Canis lupus familiaris: one gene and its partners. The protein of the gene in region 4 binds, or shares a complex with, the protein of the main gene of each other region. Links are inferred from orthologs where the notes say so. Each region holds a gene or a part of one and is shown on either strand. Other genes may lie near its edges.

The links.
Region 1: TFDP2 (region 4) and LIN9 share a complex: the UniProt entries of both Homo sapiens proteins name them as parts of the DREAM complex. The link is inferred for Canis lupus familiaris from reciprocal best matches to the Homo sapiens genes TFDP2 and LIN9.
Region 2: TFDP2 (region 4) and E2F6 share a complex: the UniProt entries of both Homo sapiens proteins name them as parts of the DRTF1/E2F transcription factor complex. The link is inferred for Canis lupus familiaris from reciprocal best matches to the Homo sapiens genes TFDP2 and E2F6.
Region 3: TFDP2 (region 4) and E2F4 share a complex: the UniProt entries of both Homo sapiens proteins name them as parts of the DRTF1/E2F transcription factor complex. The link is inferred for Canis lupus familiaris from reciprocal best matches to the Homo sapiens genes TFDP2 and E2F4.
Region 5: TFDP2 (region 4) and E2F2 share a complex: the UniProt entries of both Homo sapiens proteins name them as parts of the DRTF1/E2F transcription factor complex. The link is inferred for Canis lupus familiaris from reciprocal best matches to the Homo sapiens genes TFDP2 and E2F2.
Region 6: TFDP2 (region 4) and E2F1 share a complex: the UniProt entries of both Homo sapiens proteins name them as parts of the DRTF1/E2F transcription factor complex. The link is inferred for Canis lupus familiaris from reciprocal best matches to the Homo sapiens genes TFDP2 and E2F1.
Region 7: TFDP2 (region 4) and MYBL2 share a complex: the UniProt entries of both Homo sapiens proteins name them as parts of the DREAM complex. The link is inferred for Canis lupus familiaris from reciprocal best matches to the Homo sapiens genes TFDP2 and MYBL2.

What each region holds. Positions count from the first base shown.
Region 1 is NC_049228.1:38,560,401-38,563,900, forward strand, and holds part of LIN9 (protein lin-9 homolog), read left to right. Parts: intron 1-777; coding exon 778-911; intron 912-3,219; coding exon 3,220-3,339; intron 3,340-3,500. UniProt on the Homo sapiens protein: Acts as a tumor suppressor. Inhibits DNA synthesis. Its ability to inhibit oncogenic transformation is mediated through its association with RB1. Plays a role in the expression of genes required for the G1/S transition.
Region 2 is NC_049238.1:8,166,891-8,169,804, reverse strand, and holds the end of E2F6 (transcription factor E2F6), read left to right. Parts: intron 1-555; coding exon 556-703; intron 704-1,179; coding exon 1,180-1,229; 3' UTR 1,230-2,414; downstream 2,415-2,914. UniProt on the Homo sapiens protein: Inhibitor of E2F-dependent transcription. Binds DNA cooperatively with DP proteins through the E2 recognition site, 5'-TTTC[CG]CGC-3'. Has a preference for the 5'-TTTCCCGC-3' E2F recognition site.
Region 3 is NC_049226.1:82,754,895-82,757,756, reverse strand, and holds the end of E2F4 (transcription factor E2F4), read left to right. Parts: intron 1-1,021; coding exon 1,022-1,069; intron 1,070-1,260; coding exon 1,261-1,305; intron 1,306-1,406; coding exon 1,407-1,522; 3' UTR 1,523-2,362; downstream 2,363-2,862. Other genes in the region: ELMO3 (engulfment and cell motility protein 3), read left to right, coding at 2,755-2,832. UniProt on the Homo sapiens protein: Transcription activator that binds DNA cooperatively with DP proteins through the E2 recognition site, 5'-TTTC[CG]CGC-3' found in the promoter region of a number of genes whose products are involved in cell cycle regulation or in DNA replication.
Region 4 is NC_049244.1:38,314,548-38,318,047, reverse strand, and holds part of TFDP2 (transcription factor Dp-2), read left to right. Parts: intron 1-147; coding exon 148-310; intron 311-3,500. UniProt on the Homo sapiens protein: Can stimulate E2F-dependent transcription.
Region 5 is NC_049223.1:75,298,343-75,301,842, forward strand, and holds part of E2F2 (transcription factor E2F2), read left to right. Parts: intron 1-1,328; exon of another isoform or gene 1,329-2,505; coding exon of another isoform or gene 2,506-2,592; intron 2,593-3,002; coding exon 3,003-3,108; intron 3,109-3,500. UniProt on the Homo sapiens protein: Transcription activator that binds DNA cooperatively with DP proteins through the E2 recognition site, 5'-TTTC[CG]CGC-3' found in the promoter region of a number of genes whose products are involved in cell cycle regulation or in DNA replication.
Region 6 is NC_049245.1:23,402,024-23,405,523, reverse strand, and holds part of E2F1 (transcription factor E2F1), read left to right. Parts: intron 1-2,320; coding exon 2,321-2,411; intron 2,412-2,791; coding exon 2,792-3,011; intron 3,012-3,500. UniProt on the Homo sapiens protein: Transcription activator that binds DNA cooperatively with DP proteins through the E2 recognition site, 5'-TTTC[CG]CGC-3' found in the promoter region of a number of genes whose products are involved in cell cycle regulation or in DNA replication.
Region 7 is NC_049245.1:31,987,004-31,990,503, forward strand, and holds part of MYBL2 (myb-related protein B), read left to right. Parts: intron 1-768; coding exon 769-1,056; intron 1,057-3,500. UniProt on the Homo sapiens protein: Transcription factor involved in the regulation of cell survival, proliferation, and differentiation. Transactivates the expression of the CLU gene.

The DNA of each region.
Region 1 (3,500 bases), on a different chromosome or scaffold from region 4:
TCAACAGTAAATGTTTCTTTTTTTTTTTTTCTTTAAGATTTATTTATTTGAGAGAGGGCACAAGGGGGAGGGGGGCAGAGGGAGAGGGAGTAAAGCAGACTCTGTGCTTGATCCCACAACTCTGAGGTCATGACCTGAGCCAAAAGCAAGAGTCAGATGCCTAACCAACTGAGCCACCCAGGTGCCCCGACAGTAAACGTTTTATAATTGTTTTTCTGCATTTGGTCCATTTCTAGTACCCTGAAATGGTTGTCTTGGACAATCACAGTCCAAGTACAGTATACCACCTCCGTTAGTATCAGAACAGTGGAAACACTCCTGAAATTCAGGTTCCAAGATGCCAACCGTGCAGGCAGGCCTTTGTGAGGATAACGATCTTAGCTGTAGTGTATTAATCTTTTCTGAACATCATCCCAGCCTTTTTTTTGTAGTTAAACTGTTCCTAGTGTTTCACTTGAGTATAATAACTAAATTTCTTCTGTCAACTTTTTTTTTTCAATTTGGGGTTTAAAGCAATGATTTAAAAATATTTTTCCCAGGTAGATATATGATTACTTCAAATATCAAATTAGCGATCATCATTTATAGTTGTATTTAAATTTTTTTTGTTGTTTCTCTAAACCTAAAATCCTTCTTTGAAACTAGAATGGACAATAATACTATACTTTCTATATTTTAAATATATATATTATAAATATATATATATTGGAGCAGTTTAAATTTGACAATTTGTTGTATCTTCCAAATATCTTAATGTCTTTTTGTTTGTTTTTCCAGCTCGATTACGAGGTGTTCATGATGGTCTCTTCACTGGACAAATAGATGCGGTGGATACTTTTAATGCTACCTATAGAGTAACTTTTGATAGGGCAGGGCTTGGAACCCATACCATCCCTGACTATGAAGTTCTTGTAAGTATTTCATGATACCTTCTGTTTTATGCCTATTAAATATGCTATATGGGGCACCTGGCTGGCTCAGTCAGTAGAGCATGTAACTCTTGCCCTTGGGCTTCTGAGTTCGAGCCCCGTGTTCTGTGTGGAGTTTACTTTAAAAATAAAAAATAAAAAAAATTCTTTTTAAAAATTTTATTTATTTGAGAGAGCACACACAAGCACGGGGAGCAACAGGTAGAGGGAGAAGCAGGCTTCCTTCCCACTGAGCAGGGAGCCCAACCTGAGATCCCAGCGCAGGACCCCGGGATCGTGACCTGAGCTGAAGACAGATGCTCAACCGACCAAGCCACACAGGCGTCCCAAAATTTTAAAAATCTTAAAAAAAAAATGTGTAGAATTTTCTACAGACTGTATTTTGTGGTAGAATCAAGACTTCAGGTCACGGAGGAAGAAATCCTTAGGAGTTTGCGGTCCTACCTACCAGGCCCCTAGACCAGAACTACACTCAAGTCTTCAGCATTGTCTAGAAGTAAACATCCTTCCATTATACCCATAGAGCATTTTAGTGTGACAGAACTCATTAAATAACCTTGGGGGATAAGCTACAAGATACTTTTATTCTAGCTATTTTTTTAAAGTATGGTCATCTTGCAAAATTATTTTAAAAATATGAAGTAATATCTTGCATGTTAAGATTTATTCTTCTATTTTATCCTCAGGATTATGCAGGGTAGATGTTAATTACCCTCATTTTTTGCATGATGAAACTTAAGACATAGTACATTAAATAATTTATTCAAGGCTCTAGAGCTGGTTTCCTGACAGGGTGAGAACAGATTCCATATCTTTCAAATTCTTGAATCAGTCCTTTAAGCTACTAGGCCATTACTTCATGCTCATGTGTGATTTAGCAGTGTCATGAGAGTTATGCACCTTTCTAATAAGTCAAAATTATTTTAAGAAGACAACCAACTCTGCAATCTAATAAAGTTTTTAAAAAGTTGAATAATGAACTTTCTTTTTTTTTTAAGATTTTAACTAATCTCTGCACCCATTGTGAGGCTTAGACTCACAACCCTGAGATCAAGAGTTGCATGTGGCATACTGTACTGACTGAGGTGGCTAGGCACCTCAGTAATGAACTTTTTATAACAGAATTGTTTGCCTTTAGGACACCTGGGTTGCTCAGCAGTTGAGTGTCTGCCTTTGGCTCAGGGCATGATCCTGGAATCCCAGGATCAAATCCCACATTGGGCTCCCTGCCTGGAGCCTGCTTCTCCCTCTGCCTATGTCTCTGCCTCTCTCTGTGTCTCTCATGAATAAATAAAATCTTATTTAAAAAAAAAAAAAAAGAATCGTTTGCCTCTAAGCATTATAGAAATTAAATTGTTCACTTTTAATCTTTCTTTTTTCATTTCTTTGTTGTAAACTTGATTTTTAAGGATTGTCATCTTACAATTAAAAATCAAAATTTCTTTATCTCCTTAGTGCAAATATAGAAGAATCTTCTTTTTCTGATATGTACTTTTTAAAAATTAAGACTGTTTATTGTGAGCATTTCCTTATTTTTTTTAATAAATTTTTATTTATTTATGATAGTCACACAGAGGGGGGGGTTGGGGCAGAGACACAGACAGAGGGAGAAGCAGGCTCCATGCACCGGGAGCCCGACATGGGATTCGATTCCGGGTCTCTAGGATCGCGCCCTGGGCCAAAGGCAGGCGCCAAACCGCTGCGCCACCCAGGGATCCCGAGCATTTCCTTATTAAACATACTTTTTTAAAGAGGAGAAATGGGAGAGAAAATTTGGGCTATATTTGTAGAGCAAAGTATACGAATCCTAAGTGTTTTTCCTTAAAGGATGCAATCTTTCAACCTCCCCTTTCAAAAAAGGAAAGTTGCTTTTCTGGTTCATTAATGCAGTTTCCTTTATGAGATATTTCTTGCTGGACAGATAAAAGAGGACTCTAACTGCAGAAGGTAATACTGAGACAGCCTTTAGCCCATAACAAGCACAGATAACCATAGTACACTAATATTTTTTATTTTCCAAATATTTCCGTCCAGTGGTCTTTTTCTTTTCTTAATTCTTCTATTTTGTGAATTACTTTTTTGTGTGTGTGTGAGTTACTTTTTGATCGCAAAGTAGTGTTTTCATACTCGGACTTCAATTTTAGCCCTCTGACCTTTGTAGAATAATAGATTCTGTGATAAATCATAGCACATGAGTTGGTACACATCTCCAGCTGCAACGTAATGTTTATAAAGCTAAGATGATTGGTAAAATTCTTCAAGATTTCTGGACTTTTCTCTTTTCTCAAAGAGTAATGAGCCTCACGAGACAATGCCAATTGCTGCCTTCGGACAAAAACAGCGGCCTTCTCGATTCTTTATGACTCCACCACGATTACATTATACTCCTCCTCTCCAATCACCGATCACAGTAAGTAATATTTTTTAAATGTCATCAGTAATTTAAATGATTATTATGAATGGGAGTTGGTTTTTATGAAATACAAATCATTAAAGCAACTTTAGAAAGTAGCTGCATTATTTTAAGTTGTCAGTTATTAAATAAGCAAATAATTGCTTCAACTCTGGAAT
Region 2 (2,914 bases), on a different chromosome or scaffold from region 4:
AGTAAATTTAAAGGTCCAAAGCCATAGATGTGAATAATAACTAATAGTCCTTTATATGCAGTTTTTTTGAATATTTAAGCTACTGAGGTCTATTTTGTCTGGATCCCATCCTCTGACTTTCACGCAGAGGACGGCCTGTTGAGTGAACTCGGTACCTTTGCAGCCATCAGATCTAAACACAGCCTTGCCATTTGAGACTATGGGTTGTTTTAGATTTCTATGTCATCCAAGTACTGATTTTGGACTCTTAAGTACAGATTCCTAGAAGGGGTCGACTCCTTGAGTATCAAAAAACGGGCTCTTTAGTACAGAGATGATGACATCACGGCCCCAAAGTCATGACTGATAATCCAGTGGCTGTCGCGGCAGCATGAATTGGCCAGCAGCTCAGTCTGCTGGAGTGATTAAAGCCAAGTACATGATTCTCTCGAATACATGATAGAAAACCAATTTAAATTTTCAGAATACCACTTGAATTGAAACTTTGGTAGTTTTAGTAAGTGAAACAGTATAATTAATGAATTCTCGCATTCATGCTAATGTGTCTTTTGCCAGGACTCTATCACAGTACACATAAGGAGCACCAGAGGCCCCATCGATGTTTATTTATGTGAGGTGGAGCAGGGCCACTCTAGTAATAAATCGTCGGAAGGTGCAGGCACCTCTTCATCTAAAAACAAACATCCAGAACCCCCCAATAAAGGTAAATATACCAAGTTTGTGATTAGGAAAATTTAAGATTCTGATGGTATTTGATTATACACACACATACGCAGTCTTATTGTGGTTGATTTTTTTACACTTTCTGATCATAAAAACGGGAGTTACAGAATTACAGTGTCATTCTTCACTACAGTTTAGACGATTTCTAACAACTCTATCGTTACATTCCATGTCGTTTTGATCTCCTTGGACACTTAGGGTGGTAGTGGACCCCATGGCGGTGCCAGCTGGCAGTGTCGGAGCAGAGCAGACCGTGTGCACTCTCCGGGGCTTCCAGGTGTGCAGCTCAGCCCCGTTTCCCCTGTGAGCTTTACGGCGTTGGCCTCAGGCCCTTAGCACAACAGTACGGTTCCTGACCAGAGGTCTTGGGGGGTTTGTAAGCACTTGAATGATGTGTGCTGTTACCTGTCTGGCTTTTAACTCAGGAGAATTTCTTTCATGTTTCTTATTTTTCAGAAGAAAATCCTCCACAGCAAAGTGAAGAATTGCTTGAAGTAAGCAACTGATAGCATTTGAGAATTCGTGCACCGAGTTCTTGGGGAGCTTCCTGTGTGGGATGAATTATGCATCACATTTGATTCTCAGAGCAATAAATCGTCCATGAAATTCTCTGCTTCTGTCAGCAGCATCAAGGCCAGTAGTGGCTTTGAGTAGTTCACTACTGCGATTACTGGAGAATTATGGTTTCAGCATTTGAAAACGACTCTTTTTATAATTATTCACTGCTTTTTGTCAGTGAAATGGACCCTTGCCTACTGAAATAACTTCACAGAGTACCACGGAGGCAGACGGTCAGGCCTGAGGTGGACAGTGAGTGCTTCGCGGACTCTGCGCTTTTCTTCAAGGATCATGTGTCATTATAACAAAAGAAATTGCCTTACACGGGTTCACGTCTGCAGTTAGCTGTCGTACGTTGGATGGGTGTACGCAGGCATCCGAATGTGACGTCTTTGTATATATCTGTATAATGTTTAGATTACTTATGTAATATGTCTAAGTAAAACTTTTCACCCTTGTACAGCCAAAATAATGTATATATGGAAAATAACAGACAAATTCTCTAATTTCTGTGGTATCTATAACTTATTAGAATCCTCTCAGTGGGGGTTAGAGGAAAGTTTTTTTCCAAACTTCTACATGTAGAAGTATCATAAATAACGCTATACATTGAAAGCTCATGGATTTAATTAAAGTATTTCAATATGGTTCCCAGTGCTGAAATTGAAATCTGATACTTCGTGATTTCAAGCTCCCTGCAGGGTTATTGTGTCCAAGCAGACTGGTGGCGTGCCCTGAAGCCTTAGGGGCAAGTGTAGAAATGCTATCAGGTAATGGCTTCATTCGTTGCAAGACATGGATTTAATCATGGTGACAATTGGAAACTGTTTTAACCTTTTTTGCAAGCAGATTTTGTAGTACATTTCTGTACGCAGCCTTGCTTTTCAATCAGAAGGGTTTGCTTTTAATGAGTGGGCTGTACCCTGCCCTCTCTCCAGCTCTACTCCCACATTTCCAAGTACCTAGCTCTCTACCTCATTGGGTAAGTCACTTACCACTCTGTGCCTCAGTTTACTCCGTAGTTTACCATTAGACTGTGAGCTCCTTGAGGGACTTTGTCTTAATCATTGTTACACCCAGCGCCTTGCACCATGCCTGGCACATCAGAAGTGCTCAATAAATCTTTAAACAAATCAGCGAGTGAGTGAGTGGATTGTAAAGTAGGACCAGTAACCATGGCTTGTCTACCGTCCGGGATTCTCGTCAGCAGCATTCAGATTCATGTTTTAAACTTACCTTTCATTCCGAGAGAGATTCGAAGCAACTTGACGTTAAGACCGTGTAAAAAAAGATTTCAAAAAAAGGAATCAAATGAAAATACTTGAAAAATACTGCTGAGTGTCTAGGGTTCACTTAGCTCCGCGTTCGCGGGGGACTTGGGCAGATGTCCACTGGGAAGTGGCAGCTAGCGGGGGGTAGGCTGGAGACCAGAGGCCTGTGACCGTCATACGGAATAAAAGCCTTCCCCGAGCAGGAATAACGGGCGGGGGCGGGGGGCGGTAGCGCTGCCCAGAGTGACCTCGTCCTTCCCGGCCACCAGGTAGGTCCTTACTGCGAAATGTGACAACTGTCCCGCTTTACAAACTGTTCGGAGGGTAAAATGAGATGAGGTAGGCGAAGGACCTTTGGCAGC
Region 3 (2,862 bases), on a different chromosome or scaffold from region 4:
GGCTTCAAAAGTGGGGGCAGTGTCTTCCCAGGGGACGTGATGTCATTTGCCTTGAGTCTTCTTTTTATCCTGCGATTTGGGTATTCGCTTCTAGGACTCGTTCTCCTCAGCCCACAAGCACCAGTCTCTTCTCACTGACACTGTCCTCTGTGTTCCCTCTCTCACCTTCACTGGGTCCTTAACTGAAACTAGCTTTTCTCTGTCAGTGTGTACCCTACTATTGGCCCTGGTCCCTCAGGCCTGACACCTGCACATCATTCTGCTTCCATCTCCTCTTCGCTTTGCATTAACTGAGTTTTGTCTCAGACATCTCCCATCGCTGCCTTCATGTCCTCATACTCAGGGTCATTACTGGCTACCTCTGTCCTGAATTCTTCGGCATCTTCCGCTCTACCCTGACTGATAGGGTTGTCTGAAACACAGGTTGTGTGTGCCATTTCTGAGTTTACAGAGTACCTCCAACAGCTTCTTAAGGGCTGGTGGGTAAGAGCAGAGCCCCCTCACCTGGTATGTGCAGTCCTCGTGCACCAGCACTCTGCTAGTTTAATTTTCCCCTGCTCCACACGTGTGTCCTCCAGTCAGACCTTTGTAGCAGACTTGTCACCCTGTAGCACCAGCGCCTATCGAATGTCTGCCTGCTTTGCCAGATGACCTGGTCCCGGGTGTGGTCGCTGAGCCTAGCATTGAGCAGGTGCTCAGCAAGGGCAGGAGTGAGTGGGGCAGCCGCCATCAGACAGGGCATACCTACTGAGCCCGTGAAGGGAGGGGTCTGCTGCCTTTCTGCAGCACTTCTGAGTTAGAAGGGCCGTATCAGTCACCTGCGATGAGCCTTTAGTACCCTGGGTACTCAGGAGTTCACATCTAGCCAGGGAGACTGACAACGCCAGCTTGGCCTGGGGCATGCCCTCCACCTCCAGCTGTGTGGAGCCCCAAGATGGGTGGTAGATCTGAGGAAGGTGGGGGCTGGAATGGGACCAGACTGGATCTCTGTGCCCTCCAGCATGGCTTTCTTGTCTTTCAGTTCTGGAACTCCCCAAAGAGCTGTCAGAAATCTTTGATCCCACAAGAGGTAGGTCTGCACTCTTCCGTGGGGTAAGGGTCTCATGGTTGTTTTCTTGCACTTCTGAGGCCCTGTGATTGCGTTTGGTACCTGGACAAAAAGTTCTTGATGGGGGGGTGGTGCGTGGAGGGCCCTCTTCATGGGCTTTGGTGGGTGGAGAGCCAGGAGCCAAAATGTAACCCAGCTTTTCCTCCCTCCAGAATGCATGAGCTCAGAGCTGCTGGAGGAGCTGATGTCCTCAGAAGGTGGGTGGCCCAGGAAGGTGGAGGGTGGGGGTGGGAGTGGGGGCTGGGCAACTGCTGGGGGCTGTGCTTGGCCCAGGGCCTCAGCCTGGTGCTCTCTGCAGTGTTTGCCCCCCTCCTCCGCCTATCTCCACCCCCCGGAGACCACGATTACATCTACAACCTGGACGAGAGTGAAGGTGTCTGTGACCTCTTCGATGTGCCTGTTCTCAACCTCTGACTGACAGGGACATTCCCTGTGTGGCTGGGACACAGACTGTGTGACCTGGGGGCTGCCTGAGGACCTCCCCTGCTCTACCCCTACACGGCTTGAGAGCCACAGACTCCTGGCTTCCCCAGCCTTCCCTCACTGCAGTTCTGATCAAAACTCCCACTCCTGCACGAGTAGAGCACCTGTACCGTGCTAGGAAAGCAGGGGAAAGGGGCTCAGCCCCCTTCACCATGGAGCCAGAGCGTTTGCCTCTCCTTTTCTGGGGCTTTCCCCCACCTCATGCCCTCTCCGAGCCCTCTCAGAGCCAAGGCTCGGCTGCCACTCAGTGGCACAGATCTGAAGACCTGCCATCATCCCCATAGGGCAGCTTGTCCAGCCCCACTGCCCTGTTCCAGCCAACGCCTCCCACTCTGGGGAGGAAAGCTGAGGGTGGAGCCAGATGCTTGCCAGCACCACTCCGAGCCTCCTTCCCTTCTCCCCACCCCTGACCCTGCAGCTTCCCCTAGACCTCTCCTGTGTACCCCTCATCTGCTGGACCTTTAGCTCTGAGTACCTATGGGGGCGGGGGGAGGAGAATGGCTGTCAACCAGAAGGAACAGAGAGGTCTTTAGCTAGAAATCTGGGCAGGTGAGCCCCTGAGGATTGGCCCAATCTCCTGCTGCCCTGTAGACCAACCCTCCCTTCTTGTTTATTCATTTACCCTCATTTAGAGCCATTTGCAGAGATTTAGAAAGATTTGCAGTAACGAATGGATTCCTATATAAAGATTATTTTTATACTTTTTGCAGCAAAAGAAAATTGTAATATTTGTACAGTATCCAAGTGAATAAAAGACCATGCCTAAGGCTATCTCTGATCTGGTTCTTTCAGGGCCCCTCCCTGCAATTCTGCTGGATTGGTGGTGGGACCGGGCGGGTCACCTTTGTTGGAAAGGGAGGTGTGGCTGTTGCGGTATCCCGCCCTCCCCGCCCCCACCTGGCGCACCTAGGGGCGGGGCGGGGCTGCCGGGGCGGGGCAGGGCAGGCGCCTTCCCACGGGACTCCAACCCGGAACTAGTCTCGGCTCCCTTGGGAAGGCCGCGGCCCCTGTCCAGGAGCCGGAGCCTGACCCGTGAGTGCGGGCCACGGGTCCAGGCCTTGGACAGAGGGACACCCTCGTTCTCGGAGGCACCAGACCAGGCGCTTCCTTGGCCGGACGTTGGACGGTCTGGAAACTACAGGCGCTCCTGCTCCGGCTGGACCATGGCGCCCCCGCGGAACGTGGTGAAGATCGCGGTCCAGAAGCCTGACGCCATCCCGCAGCTCATCCGACTGGACCAGGTCACTCGGCCTGTCTGGCCTCCATTCATC
Region 4 (3,500 bases):
AAAAATTAAGTTCAGAACATTTCCTCATCTCTAATTCAATTTAAAATTGACCACCTAAAGCAAAAATCAAGTTAGTATATTCTCACATTACTTTATAGTTTCATAAAGGAAGTCTGGTGTATAAATATGCATTTTTTTCTCTTTTAGTAAACGAAGCAAAAAAGGAGATAAAAATGGAAAAGGCTTGAGACATTTTTCCATGAAAGTATGTGAGAAAGTTCAGCGGAAAGGTACAACGTCATACAATGAAGTGGCCGATGAGCTGGTATCAGAGTTCACCAATTCAAATAACCATTTGGCAGCTGATTCGGTAGGTAGATCATGCACTTGACATTGACTATGATGAGTGATAGAACAGTGTATCTCTAGGTTGACTGTGTCTTTTTTTTTTTTTTTTTTTTTTTTTTGACTGTGTCATTTTTTTAAGGACTCAGACAAGCTAGGGAATCCCCAACTCCTTTACGTGAGGGTTTCATATTGTCTTTTGGGGAATTCTTCTGTTGAGTTTTGTTTTAGAAAGGGTTCTTTTATTATCTATTTAAACATAAAGATTAGCATGTATTTTTTAAATATACTTTGGGGAGTTACAAAAGGAACATACTTTTTTAAAAAGATTTTATTTGTTTATTTGAGAGCACAGCAGGAGGAGCAGCAGGCAGAGAATATTCATAGAACATTATAGACATATTTATGGAACATGTAAGTCCTCTTTTTAACCACAGACCTTAATCTTTCTCCACAAAGGCATATTCACTATTACCAGATTCTTTAGTATCATCCCCAAAGTTCCTTAGGCATACACATAATAAAACCTATTCCCTATTTTATTTTATTTTATTTTATTTTATTTTATTTTATTTTATTTTATTTTATTTTATTTTATTTTTAAGATTTTGTTTATTTTGGAGAGCTACAGAACAGTTCTGTCACTCCCAAAAGGTTCTTTCTGCCTTTTGTAATGTATCCCTCCTTCCCTCCTTCTCCCTCTATCCCTAGGCAATTGCTGATCTGCTTTTTATCATTATAGATCAATTTGCACTTTATTTAAATGTGATCATATTATATATACTCCACAATTCTTAAAATAGTTCTTGACCTTACTGGAAATATGTTTAATATTCCAATCTTAATTATGACAAGGGTTTTATTTTGAAATGATAGCATCCATAACTTGATTTTTTAAATGAATGTTTCTTTTTTTAATTTTTTATTATTTATTTTTAAGATTTTATTTATTCATGAGAGACACAGAGATGCAGAGACACAGGCAGATGGAGAAGCAGGCTGCCTACAGGAAGCCCAATGTGGGACTCGATCCCAGGATCCTGGGACCACACGCCAAGCCACCCAGGCATCCTGAATGTTTCTTTTTTCTTAACTAAAAATAATCAGAAATGGATATTTAATTTATTCCAATTTTGTGTAGTTTTGAAAATTTGGGTATTTTACACTGACAGTCCTAAATGAGATTGATGTAATCTTTTTGTTTTTACCATCTTTGCAGTTGTTTTTTTTTTTTTTTTTTTTTCCATCTTTGCAGTTTTGATTTGCAGTGTTATGCTGGGCTTTTTAAAATTTAGAGGGTTTTTTTCCTTCTTCCACTTTACTCCATTATAGGTTTAATAGCATTAGATGTGTATTTTGCTTCCCTGACATTTTATAGAATAGAAATCACCTCTGATACCATCTAGGCATGGTGATTTGGTGGGGGGTAATGCTTAGATAGCATTCTCCATTTTTACTTTGGTAATTAGCCTGTTTAGAATTTTTGTCTCCTTTAGTATTTTATGGTTTCTTAGAAAATCCTCCATTTCATACATGTTCTTAAAACTATTTGCAATTATTTTTCCCAAAGAACCATCTCCTAAATTTGTATGGACTCTTCTGTTTTGTAGTTAATTTCTTTTTTTTTTCCTATGTTCATTTAATAGTATCTTCTCTTTCCTGAAGTTACTTTTGTTATTTTTCTATCCTGTAGATTATGATATATACTTTATTTACTTTGATTATTTTTGTTTAGTAATGAAAATGTTTTTTTTTTTTTTTTTATTTATTTATTTATTCATGAGAGACACAGAGAGAGGGGCAGAGACACAGGCAAGGGAGAGGCAGGCTCCTCACAGGGAGCCCGATGTGGGACTTGATCCCTGGACCAGGGATCACACCCTGAGCCAAAGGCAGACGCTCAACCACTGAGCCACCCAGGCGTCCCAATGAAAATGTTTATAGCTGTGACTTATCCTCATGTGCACTGCTTTAGCCATTTCCCATTGATTCTGATATATTACTCTTTAAATATTCTGCAACTTTGGTTTTAGTTTCCTCTCTGACCTAAGAATGGCATTAGAATTTTTATATTTCCAGGTAATAGGGATTTTTTTTGTAAATTGAACTATTTATATATTTTTTAAAATTGCTTTGAGATTTTTCTTGTGAGCCATTATTTGGTAATGCATTTTTTTTCTTTTCTCTGGCACCTGTAGAGAAGGTATGTCGCATTCTGATTCTGAGTGAAAGTGGAAATTTTCAAAATGTTCTACAAGACCTATATGATCTAGCCCACCATTACCTCTCTCATCTCATCTCCTACTAGGAACTCTCCCAGTTACTATACTCTAGCCACCTTATGATAAAAGTTTTATCTTGAAATTATAGCAACCATAACTTGATCTTTTAAATGAATATTTCTTTCATTTTTCTTAATTAAAAAATTCAGAAATGGATATTGAATTCAATCAAATTCTGTGTGTTTCCTGAAAATTTAGGAGTTTTACACTGACAGCCATGAATGAGATTGGTGGGTTTTTGTTTGCTTTTTGTTTCGGGGTGAATATGCCAGGTACGTTCCTTATCAGACTGTTAGACTTGCTATTTCCTATGTCTGAATCTCTGCTAAGGAGCCATATGGTTTCTCTCTTCTCTCCAATTTTTATTCAGATGTCACTGTACCGAGGCATTTCTTCTTAACACATTTTATCATCTAATATAAATTTTAACTTACCAACCCCATCCTCATCCCTGAATACAAGCAAGAGTTGGGGGTTTTCTGTCTATTCACTGCTGTGTTATTTTTTTTTTATAAATATATAAATTGGAAGGTTTGTAGTCTTTAGTTCTTTAACTGGTTATCTTTATAACTTTAAGTAACTTCAGTATTTTGTTTCTTTTGTTGTTACCTATAAACCAATATCTGTTGATTATGAAGGGAAAAAGTTAATATGCTTCTATCTACTTGCATGTCCCATCTTTTGTCTACCACAGATACAGATTGAATATCTTAGTGGTAGTTGTTAAAAGAGTAATATTATTACAGTTTGTTTTTATGACTTTAAATAAATATATTGTGCCAAAACCTGTGTTACTATTTACTTCATCTGTTTAAATAGTTAATCTGCTTTGAATCCCATACCCCTTAAAATAGCAAGGAGAACACGAGCAAGCCTATTTTGTTGTCTCCTCCTGGTATTTTTTTACTATATTATCATTATTTCCACAGTGCC
Region 5 (3,500 bases), on a different chromosome or scaffold from region 4:
AGCACTGTCGCTGAATCCCGGACGAGGTGGAGCAGATATCCCCACTTCACAGGTGGGGCTCCAGAGGTCAACTGACTTGCTGAGCTCCCCCAGCTAAGAAGGAGGCAGGCCCAGGTGGGAACCCCCATGGATGTGACTCCCAGGCCTTTGCTCAGGCTCTCCTTGGCTCTCATCTTTCTGGGCTTGTCTTTTGCCACCTCTGTTCTGTAGGCCCAGGCCCATCTGTGGGCTATGCCCTAAGGTATCAGGGAGATGGCCTTGGAAGAGGGACATTTTGCTGCTTGAGGTATAGGATAAGGGAAGGGACTGAGAAACGGAGGGAACTGGTATGTCTGCATAAAGTAATGGGGGAAGGTGGGCACAGCCAGGTCTTTGCTCAAACTGCAGAAAATTCTGGGGAATGGTCATGGGATAGAGCTGAGATGGCCTAGTATGTGGTTTGGGGGCCAGACAGTCCTGGGTTTAAACTCTGGCTCTACTCTTTGCCCGTGTGACCTTGGGCATGTGTCTTACCCTCTCTGAGTCTCCACTTCTCATCTGCAAGGAGAGATTGCCAATACTGATGTTGCAGGACTGATGAGCACGTGATAGGCCCGATGCAGATATTCTGTTCAAGGTCCTTCCTATCTTGTACCCGCTCTTCAGGTAGTGAGGTTCTTCCTCCTGTGTTCTGTGAACTCAGCAGGGCCTGGCTCCTGTTGGGCGGGGGAGGTGGACCTGGTTGGGGTGACTCTGGGCTGTCCCGGCTCTGCCTCAGGTAGAACTCAGCTTGACTTCCCTTCCTCTCCTTGCTCTTGGCATTCTTCTTGAGGGATGTGTGCACGGTCCTGGGATGGACAACTTTGACCAGGATTGATAAAGACCTTGGTGCTCGCCAAGTCCCGGTTACTTCAGCTGTTAAATGGGGGTTGGCAGTGCTGGGGAGACTCTGTGAGGCGCTGAATGTTGGGGCTTAGCCCGGGGCATGTGGAAGATCTCAATGAATGACTGGGCCTTTCTCTAGAGACAAGATAGGTCACATTCCCTAGAATCTGGGATTCAGCAGCTGAGAGGTTAAGAAAAGAATATTCCAGGGGATCCCTGGGTGGCTCAGCGGTTTGGCGCCTGCCTTTGGCCCAGGGCGCGGTCCTGGAGTCCCGGGATCGAGTCCCGCGTCGGTCTCCCGGCATGGAGCCTGCTTCTCCCTCCTCCTGTGTCTCTGCTTCTCTCTCTCTCTCTCTCTCTCTCTCTGTCTATCATAAATAAATAAATAAATAAATAAATAAATAAATAAATAAATAAATCTTTAAAAAAAAAAAAAAGAATATTCCAGAGAGACTTCAAGAGGAATGAGCAGGGAAGTGTTTGGATCATGTCCAGGTTTGGCTAGGGGTGGAAGCCTCATATCCAGGCTTCTCAAAAGAAGGAGAGGTATAGGACAAGGGGAGGGACAGTGAGATGGAGGGAACTGGTATGCCTGCATAAAGTAATGGGAGCAGGTGGGCATAGCCAGGCCTTTGCTCAAACTCCAGCAAATTCTCAGGGAATGGGTGTGGGATAGAGCTGAGACAGCCTAGTATGTGGCTTTGGGGTCAGACCTGGAATCAGTCCGGGAGGACTTCCTGGAGGAGGCAGGAGCGGGGAGGGGAGCTGATGGCCGGAAGAGCTGTCACCACTTCCCACACCTGTCACCCCAGCTGTGCTCAGCAGCAGTTAGAAGTCTCAGCCCTGCCGAGCATGACCTCACTGTCAAAGGTTAAAATAGACCTCTCTGCCCCAACCAACTTAGAGGTGTCTGGGTGATTAGGGAAGAGGAAGAAAATAGGCTTGGTGGCCCCTGAAGGGTGTGTCAAGGAAGACACCAAGCCTGGATTTCAGGGAAGGGACTCTGTATGTTCTGAACACCTACTGTGTGCTGAGCCACAGGCTGAGCACTTTGCAGGACTTATCTCCTTGATTCCTCACCACGGTCCCTCAAGGTGGGTGTTCTCTGCTCCATTTTACAGAGGAGGAAACTGAGGCTCCTGGATGTGGAGCGCTTCCCCGAGTCCCACACACACAGCAAGCCCGTGAAGGAGCCGGGAGAGTCAGGTCCAGGCCTCTGACCTGTGCCCCAGTGCCCCAGTAGCCTAGCCCTGCCCCTGCCCAGCCCTAGCAGGAGAGAGGCCCCTTCCGGGCCAGTGCAGCTTCTGGGCCTAATTGGGGCCTGGTGGCAGCGGGGTGGAGAAGAGCAGATGGGTCTGTGGTTTGATTTCCCCAGCAGGTGTTTCCCAAGCTTGGCGGGAACAGGCAGGGGGAGCAGGGGGACCTCAGCTGTTTGTCCTTGAGATGCAGGGGAAGGATTCATTGTCTGCCCCTCTCGGCAAAGAAAGAATGGCAAATGGAGTCTATTCAGGAGGCCCTGGGGCCCCGGGGCCCTGGAGCTGGAGCCCAAACATGGGGGTGGGGAATGTTTGCTCTGCTTCCCGAAGTGGGCACCTCCCTGGGGTGTGGCACTGAGCCAGGAAGTCCCCTGGGCCCGGGCGGATGCCCAGCCCCACCCTGATAAGGGCCAGCTGTGGGGCTGTGATGGGCACCAGGGCAGGCGGGCCAGCTGCTTTTGCACTTGCTGGGGTGGGAGGCTCTCCCCAGCCTGATGTGGTTTGAGTCCTACCCACTCCTTCCTCCCTGCATCATCCTCTGGGCGTGGGGGTGGGGGGTGGCGGATGTAGAAGTGACCCTGGGGCCTGTAATTAAGGAACCTTGAGGTCTTGGCCAGACTGGCTTCCGTAACCTTCGAGTACCTGGGCCTCAGGATGAGAGTGTCGTGTGCTCCTCCGAAAATGGGACTCCCTTTCCCCTGGAGGCTCACTTGGCCAGTCGCTGCTGGGTCCTCACCAAGTGCAATGAGGTTTCACCAGGACTGGGGGTAAATCGAGGCAGAGAAAGCAGCTGCTGGTGGCCTCTTTTCCCCGACTTGGGGTGGGGGGGAGACTGAAGGAGAATGATTCTCAAACTCTGCCTCTCTCTCTCCTGTCTCCAAGGCCAAAAGGAAGCTGGACCTGGAGGGGATCGGGAGGCCAGCCATCCCTGAATTCCGGACTCCCAAGGGGAAGTGCATTAGAGTGGAGGGCCTTCCCAGCCCCAGAAGTAAGCCCAGCTTATGGGGTGGGGGCGGGGGTGGGGGGTTCCGAGGGCAAGCTGGGCGGGCAGGGGCAGAGGGCAGCAGCAGCCTCACCCACATCATCAGGAGCCTATTTGTGGCGCACTTCCCGGTTTACAAAGCAGATGCCTCTGTGCTCTCTCAGGGGACCTGCCTGTAGGGCACACTATCCCCCTTTCACTGAGGAGGCAGCTTGTGTGACTTGCCCAAGGGCACACTGCTGGTGAGTGGGGGTCAGGACTCCAACCCAAGCCAGCACTGCTTCTCCCACGCCATATGCCACTCTCGTGACCAGAACGTGATGGCTGGTGTTGTACTTGGGAGCTTTTCTTTTTTTTTAAAAGTTTATGTTTTGTTCAGTCTGACCTTTTCTAAAAGA
Region 6 (3,500 bases), on a different chromosome or scaffold from region 4:
TTCACCTCTGCCTTTTTAGGTTCCTGTGCCAAGCTCTAGAGTGTGGTGGCTGAAATGGAGACCTGCTTGAGCCCTTGCTTTAGGGTGTGGCATTGACCTGTCATCACGGTGGGCATGGGCCTGAGGAGCAGGGAGATGAGGGGTGCAATTGGCAGGAGGATGCTAGGTTCAGGCCTAAGGGGTAAGGCCGGAGAGGAGACACACATGGCTTTTGGGGGCTGGTCTCTGGACGAAGCTGCAGGGAAGCAGGACACGTAGTAGGTAGGAATATGGGCTCTGGGTCAGCCCATTAGGGCTCACATCCTGGCCCTATCTCTCATTGTCAGGCCTCTTGGAAAGTAGAGGTCATCATGGCATCTGTTGCAAGGTCTGGGCAGAGGGTTTGATGACTGGATGCAGGTAAAGCCATTATTTAGCAGGGCTCGGTACACAAGAGACACTCGACATGTGTGAGCACTTCTATCCCCGGGGCACCTGAGGGCATCCATGAGTGTGCGATGAGAGTGAGGGCTCGTTGGCACGTGCAGAGGTTCACACAGCAGACGGGAGTTAACACCAGGCCCTGCGAACAGTGATGATTCCATAATTCCGGTCCAGCGCCTGCCTCGGGGCACTGCCTTCTGGGTGAGACAAATACATCTCCAGAAGTTGGTTGCAAGAGATATTGTGGGGAAAGGTCAGGTTTGAGGCATTTTGGCCTGGTCTCTTGCAGGATGAGAAGACCTAAGTAAGGAGTAAGGTGCCTTCCCGCAGAGGTGTAAGAGTTGGTGTGAAGGCAGGTGGGGCATTCATGGGAGGGAAACGGCTCAGGCTAACACTTGGAGGCACAAGTTTGTGAGAAAACACGTCTGAGCAGAAGTTTACGTGGAGAAGTGGCAGAGGAGGGCACTAGGGTGGAGAAGGATAGGTGGAGGCAGGGAGTTGGCTGAGTGGTCCAAATGGGAGGAGATAGTGGCTGTGGCGAGAGGTTTCTCAAAGGCTACCAGATGGCTGCCCAGTGAGGGTCTAGCTTGGGAAACCCCGTGGGTGGGGGAGGACTGGGGTGGGTCAGGATGGGCCTGAGATGCCTGAGATATTCTGGGGCAGTCTCCATCCTCCCGTGTGTGTGACTAAGAGGGTGTTCTGGACAGGAATCCTGGCTTGGCTGCTTCCTGGCTGTCTGACTTGGGCCTCTCTGGGCTTCAGTTACTTTATCCATAAAGTGGAGCCATTATTGTGCTGCTAGTCCATAGGACGGAATGAACTAACGTGCAAAACGTGGTGAGTACTAGCTGCCACCATGTTCACAGAATCCAGAGAGAGAAGGTAACTTGCCCAAGGGACCTGTATCCTAATGGCTTAAAACAACAAGTCCTTAATACAGCACTGTGTGTTAATATACTGGCATTGAAATTAAAAACAATAAAAAAGGGTAGCCCCCGTGGCGTCAGCGGTTTAGCGCCGCCTGCAGCCCAGGGCGTGATCCTGGAGACCTGGGATCGAGTCCCATGTCAGGCTCCCTGCATGGAGCCTGCTTCTTCCTCTGCCTGTGTCTCTGCCTCTCTCTCGCTCTGTATCTCTCATGAGTAAATAAAATAAAATCTTAAAAAAAAAAAATAAACCCCAATAACAAACAATTATTATCACACAGATTTTGGTGGGGCAGGAATTCAGAGGAGACTGCTCAGTGCTTCTGGCGCAGGATCTCTGCTGAGATCGTAAGCCAAAATGTTGGGCGAGGCTGCAGTCATCAGAAGGCGTGACCAGGGTTGAAGGACTTGTTTCTAAGACTGATGTTGCTACTGGACAAGGCCTCAATGCCTTGCCACTCAGGCTTGCGTGACATGGCAGTGGCTCTCCCCAGAGTGAGTGGTCCATTATAGAAAACAAGGAGGAAGCTCCAGTGCAGCTCTGACCCAGTCTGAGAAGTGACTTGTCATCACTTCCATCCTACTGCTCTTGAGAAGCAAGTTACCAGATCTGGTCCATATTTAAGGGGAGGAGAATTAGGCTCTATTTTTTTGTTTTGTTTTGTTTTGTTTTGTTTTGCTTTTTTGAAAGGGAGAGTATCAAATTTGCAGACAGATTTTAAAACTGCCATAGGCACCCAGGGAAATACTGGTGGAGCTAGAACTTAAACTCAGGTCTTCTGCGCCCCATGGTTGACTGATCTGTCCTGTGCGGTAGGACTGTGTCCCCTGGGATCTCCCCATCCCTCATACACATAGGCGACATGATAGAGAAAGTGGGGCAGGGGTGACCCAGGAGCACCAAGCCCAGAGCCCAGTCTTTGTGGCCTCGCTCCTGGTTATTAAATATCATCCCATTGTTTCTGCCACAGGTAAAGCGGAGGTTGGACCTGGAAACTGACCATCAGTACCTGGCTGAGAGCAGTGGGCCAGCCCGGGGCAGAGGCCGCCACCCAGGAAAAGGTACCCACAGAGCTGGGGCTGGGGCAGGCCCCCTGACCGGGCCCAAGTTGGGGGTGTGGACAAACATGCTTGCAGAGTAAACTCTGATCTGTCAGGCCTGGACTGGAGCCAGGCCTCTGGGGGCCCTGAGGGGCAGCTGGAGTGGCTGCCTGGCATGGCTTCCCCAGGCCCTGGGGGGTGGGGAGTTCCCCAGCCAGAAGAGGAATGTCTCGTGGTTGGCAGGCAGCAGCCCCAGGCCCTCATGGTTGGTTTTGCCAAGGGGAAGGAGCCATCTGCCCATCCCACTCCCATCTTTCGGCCCTGTCCTGCACTGCCAGGAAGGCTAGCCCACCTAGGTGTGGGGGTGGTACTGAGGGAACCCTCCTTGCCTGGACCCCTAGGTGTGAAATCCCCAGGGGAGAAGTCACGCTATGAGACCTCACTGAATCTGACCACAAAACGCTTCCTGGAGCTGCTGAGCCGCTCGGCTGATGGCGTTGTTGATCTGAACTGGGCGGCTGAGGTGTTGAAGGTGCAGAAACGGCGCATCTATGACATCACCAACGTCCTCGAGGGCATCCAGCTCATTGCCAAGAAGTCTAAGAACCACATCCAGTGGCTGTAGGTACCAGCCCTTCAGGAGGGCAGGCGGAGGCTAAGGCCTGGGGCCAGGCCAGCATGGAGGAGCTGATAGTGATCCCCACCGTGGCTGTCCGCATCCTCATCGTCTAGCTGGGGAAACTGAGGCTCGGAGGGGGAGGTGGCTTCTCTGAGGAAGTTTCCACAGATTTCACATACGCAGCTCAACGCACCCTCGTGTATTTCTTCGTCTGGGGAGTCACCATCCAGATCAGGATAAAGAACATGTCCGGCACCACAGAAAGTTCCCTGTGCCCTTCCCAGCTGTTGCCCATCCCTCTTAGCTCATCACCTCTTAGGTGATGGCTCTTATGCCCTCTGTCACCCTCAGTAGGATTGTTAATTCTTGTTAATTTTTTTGGAAAGACTTTATTTGACAGAGCACAAGCAGGGGGAGCAGCAGGCAGAGGGAGAGGGAGAAGCAGGCTTCCTGCTGAGCAGGGTGTGGGTCTCCATCTCAGGACCCTGGGA
Region 7 (3,500 bases), on a different chromosome or scaffold from region 4:
CCCTGCTTTATCTTTCTGTATATAGATGCTACTCTTTTATCTGAGCCATTTGAGAGTTGGTTACATGTGTTTACCTCTCCATCCCTTAATACGGAGTCTGTATTTCTTAAGGATAAGGGCCTTGGTTTACATACTCACAGCATGCTAATGTCCAATTCAGAGCTTTTAGCACTGATTTAGGACTTCTAACAGGTCTATAATCTATATTCCATTTTCCTGCCCATGATCCAGTCTAGGACTAGACTTCTCACTTAGTTATCATTTGTTTTGTCTACTTTTATCTGAATAGCCCGTTAGCCTTTCTTAACCTTTCACGATGCTGGTATCTTTGAAGTGTAAGATAATGCCAGTTATTTTATAGACTCTCTCTCTCTCTCTTTCTCTGTAAGTAGGCACCATGTCCAGTGTGGAGCCCAGTGCAGGGCCTTGAACTCACAATTCTGAAATCAAGACCTAAGCTGAGATCAAGAGTTGGATGCTTAACTGACTGAACCACCCAGGCACCTCATCTGTGTCTCAATTTAGATTCATTTGAGTTTCCTTATTAGATCAGGTTGTACCTTTTAACTATTTTATTTACAAACTTTTTTTATGTTAAGCAACCTCTATGCCCGATGTGGGCTTGAACTCACGACTCCGAGATCAGGAGTTGCACACTCTTCAGACTGAGCCAGCCAGGTGCCCCAGGTTGTGCATTTTTAGCTAGAATACTATACAATGTGTATCTTATAACCGGAACTCTGAACAGTGTGCCCTTGTGTCCAACAGGGAAGTCTTATGACCAATTGGCCCCCAGCGCTTCCTGCCATGAAAGAAGAGGAAAGCAGTGAGGAGGAGGCCACGGCAGCCACTACTTCTAAGGAGCAGGGAGCTGTCCCTGCAGACCTGGGTGGAGTGCGAACACCAGAGCCCTTGGAGGACTTCCCTAAACGTGAAGACCAGGAGGGTTCTTCGCCAGAAACCAGCCTGCCCTACAAGTGGGTGGTGGAGGCCGCAAACCTCCTCATCCCTGCCGTGGGGTCCAGCCTCTCAGAAGCCCTGGACTTAATCGAGTCGGTAATGTTGGTTATAGCACCTCAGAGTGGGCCCAGAGCACCCGCCAACTGGGAGTGCTTCTCTCGTGGAGTGCTTCTCTCGTGGGTGGGCATCCTTCTCTTCACTCCCTCCTGCTGTCATTTCCTGAGCTGGTGCTGAGTGCCCCACTGGGAGCCAGGGCCTGGGGACACAGATAGTTGCCACATTGTCCCTGCCTTCAGCAACTCCTGACTCCTGCTCTGCAGTTTAGGTGGGGTGGGAGGATTCCCTAGAGGTGGCACTGCACTGAGACCTTGAGGATGACGAGGGGAGGGCATTTGAAGCCCATAACACAGCATAGGAGAGCATGGTGCTTGTGGCACCAGATTTAGGGCTGGGGCTGGAGTGCCGAGTGGGGTTTGCTAATTCAGTAACACTGTCTCTGAGGCTGCAGTGGCTGTGGATTGTACGTCGTGGGAGAGAGCTCCTCGCTGGGGGCTGCATCTCTTGATGTGACATCCCAGCTCCTTGCTGTGTCAGCCAGGCCTGCCGTGTGGAACAGTTTTCAGGAGGTGATAGGTGAGAGGCCTGGCAACTAGGGACAGCAGAATCCCCCCAGAATTCAGGGGGAGACACCCCACAGTGACTTTCCTCCTTGGGCTTTCCCATCCTTGCTAAGAATAACAATACTGTTTATTGACCATCTACCTAATGCCAGGCTCTGGGCTTAATGTATAATCCATACAGCATCTTGTGAGGTATATCCTTTCTCTGTTTTGTAGATGAGACTGAGGCTCAGGGAGGCTAAGTAGTGTCTCCACAGTCACAGTGAGTAAGGTTGGTGGTCTTCACTGTCTTGACCAGCCTCTTGCCTCCAGAGGCTGGGATTGGTCCCCGCTGTAGGGTCTAGCTGTGGTATCCCCTCTACTCTGAGAAATTTCAGAGTGGCATGAGAAACGGGTCTGATTTATTTATCAATACATTAAATAAATATCTCTGACGCTGCCATGTACAGTTCCTGATTCAGGCCCTAAAGGGAGAGTTGGATGAGAGTAGGACCCACGCTGTGCCTGGCACTGTTGGCATTTCATGGTGTTACCAGCCTTCATCCTCAGATTTTTCTGCTGCTTCTTCAACTTGATAGGCACAGAGAGGGCGAGAGGGGAGCTCAGTTTTACTGAATTCCTACTGGCATACAGTACTGCCCAAGCTGGCCTCACCCTTATGAACGAACTGCCGAGGTTCTCGAGAGTCCCAAGGACCAGCAGCCATCATAAGCATCTGGGTCTACTCAGGGCCAGACCTCCTGGGACCAAAGCGGAAGCCTCTGTCTCCAGCAGCCCTGTGGCTGGGTGATAATTTATTGGCCAAAGGAGAGAAGACTTGTCATGACTCAGAATTGCTCCCAGAAACTTAGCAACCTTGGGCAGATTGCATCCTCTCTGGCCTGGAAAGGAAGAAAGTAATGCTTGTCTGACAAGGTTCTCGTGGGGTGAGAAACAGTTTAGGTGAAGTGGCCACAGAGGATCCATGACTGATAGGTGCATGGAGCACATTCTCTAGAACTGTGGCCTAAGCCATAGGACCTAAGCCTGGTCACACAACCTCGGGCCTAAGACTTCATTTCTAGGAGTCTCTGTCAAGGAAGTTCCCAAAAATGCAGTAGAATATTTGTATCCAAGATGCTCATGAAGATGTTATTTTTAATTTTAAAAAGTTAGGGGAAGGGTGCCTTGGGTGGCTCAGAGGTTGAGTGTCTGCCTTTGGTTCAGGTCATGATCCAGGGGTCCTGGGATCGAGTTCTGCATCAGGCTCCCCATGGGGACCCTGCTTCTCCCTCTGCCTATGTCTCTCTCTCTTTCTCTCTCTCATGAATAAATAAAGTCTTTAACAAAAAATTAAGGGAAAAAACAATGTCCAACAGAAGAGGGGAATAGTTAAGTAACTGATGCATTCATATGATCGAATATTTTGCAGTCGTAAAACTTGTTATAAAAGTTGGAAATTTTTCACATGATAACAGATTTATTAATGGTAAACCTCTAACTCATAGGTAATAGAATTAAGTACTATTATTGTAAATAGAAAAACAGGATATCGAAATGATTTTTTTTAAGGCTAAAAACATGCAGAATCCTATCATTTAGGGATATGTATAAGTGGTAAAATGAAAGAAATGTGTAAGGATGGTAAATACTGAGTTCAGAGAGAGGGTGTGAACAAGGGGAGGTAGGCATGGGGCTTCACCAATTAGGTTTTAATTCCTAGGCTCCTTGACGGGTGTAAGTTTTCTTTCTTTGTACTTTTTGTATATCATATGTGTTGCTTTTTAAAAATAACTGCCATATGCGCAGTATGACTTCAGGTATGTTTGCAGATAGAGATATACAGATGTAGAAGAATCCTCAAGAAAATGCAAGAAAACATTCATGGTGATGACTCCTGGGCTGTGGATTCCTCCCTAATGCTTGTGTATTGTCCTTTAA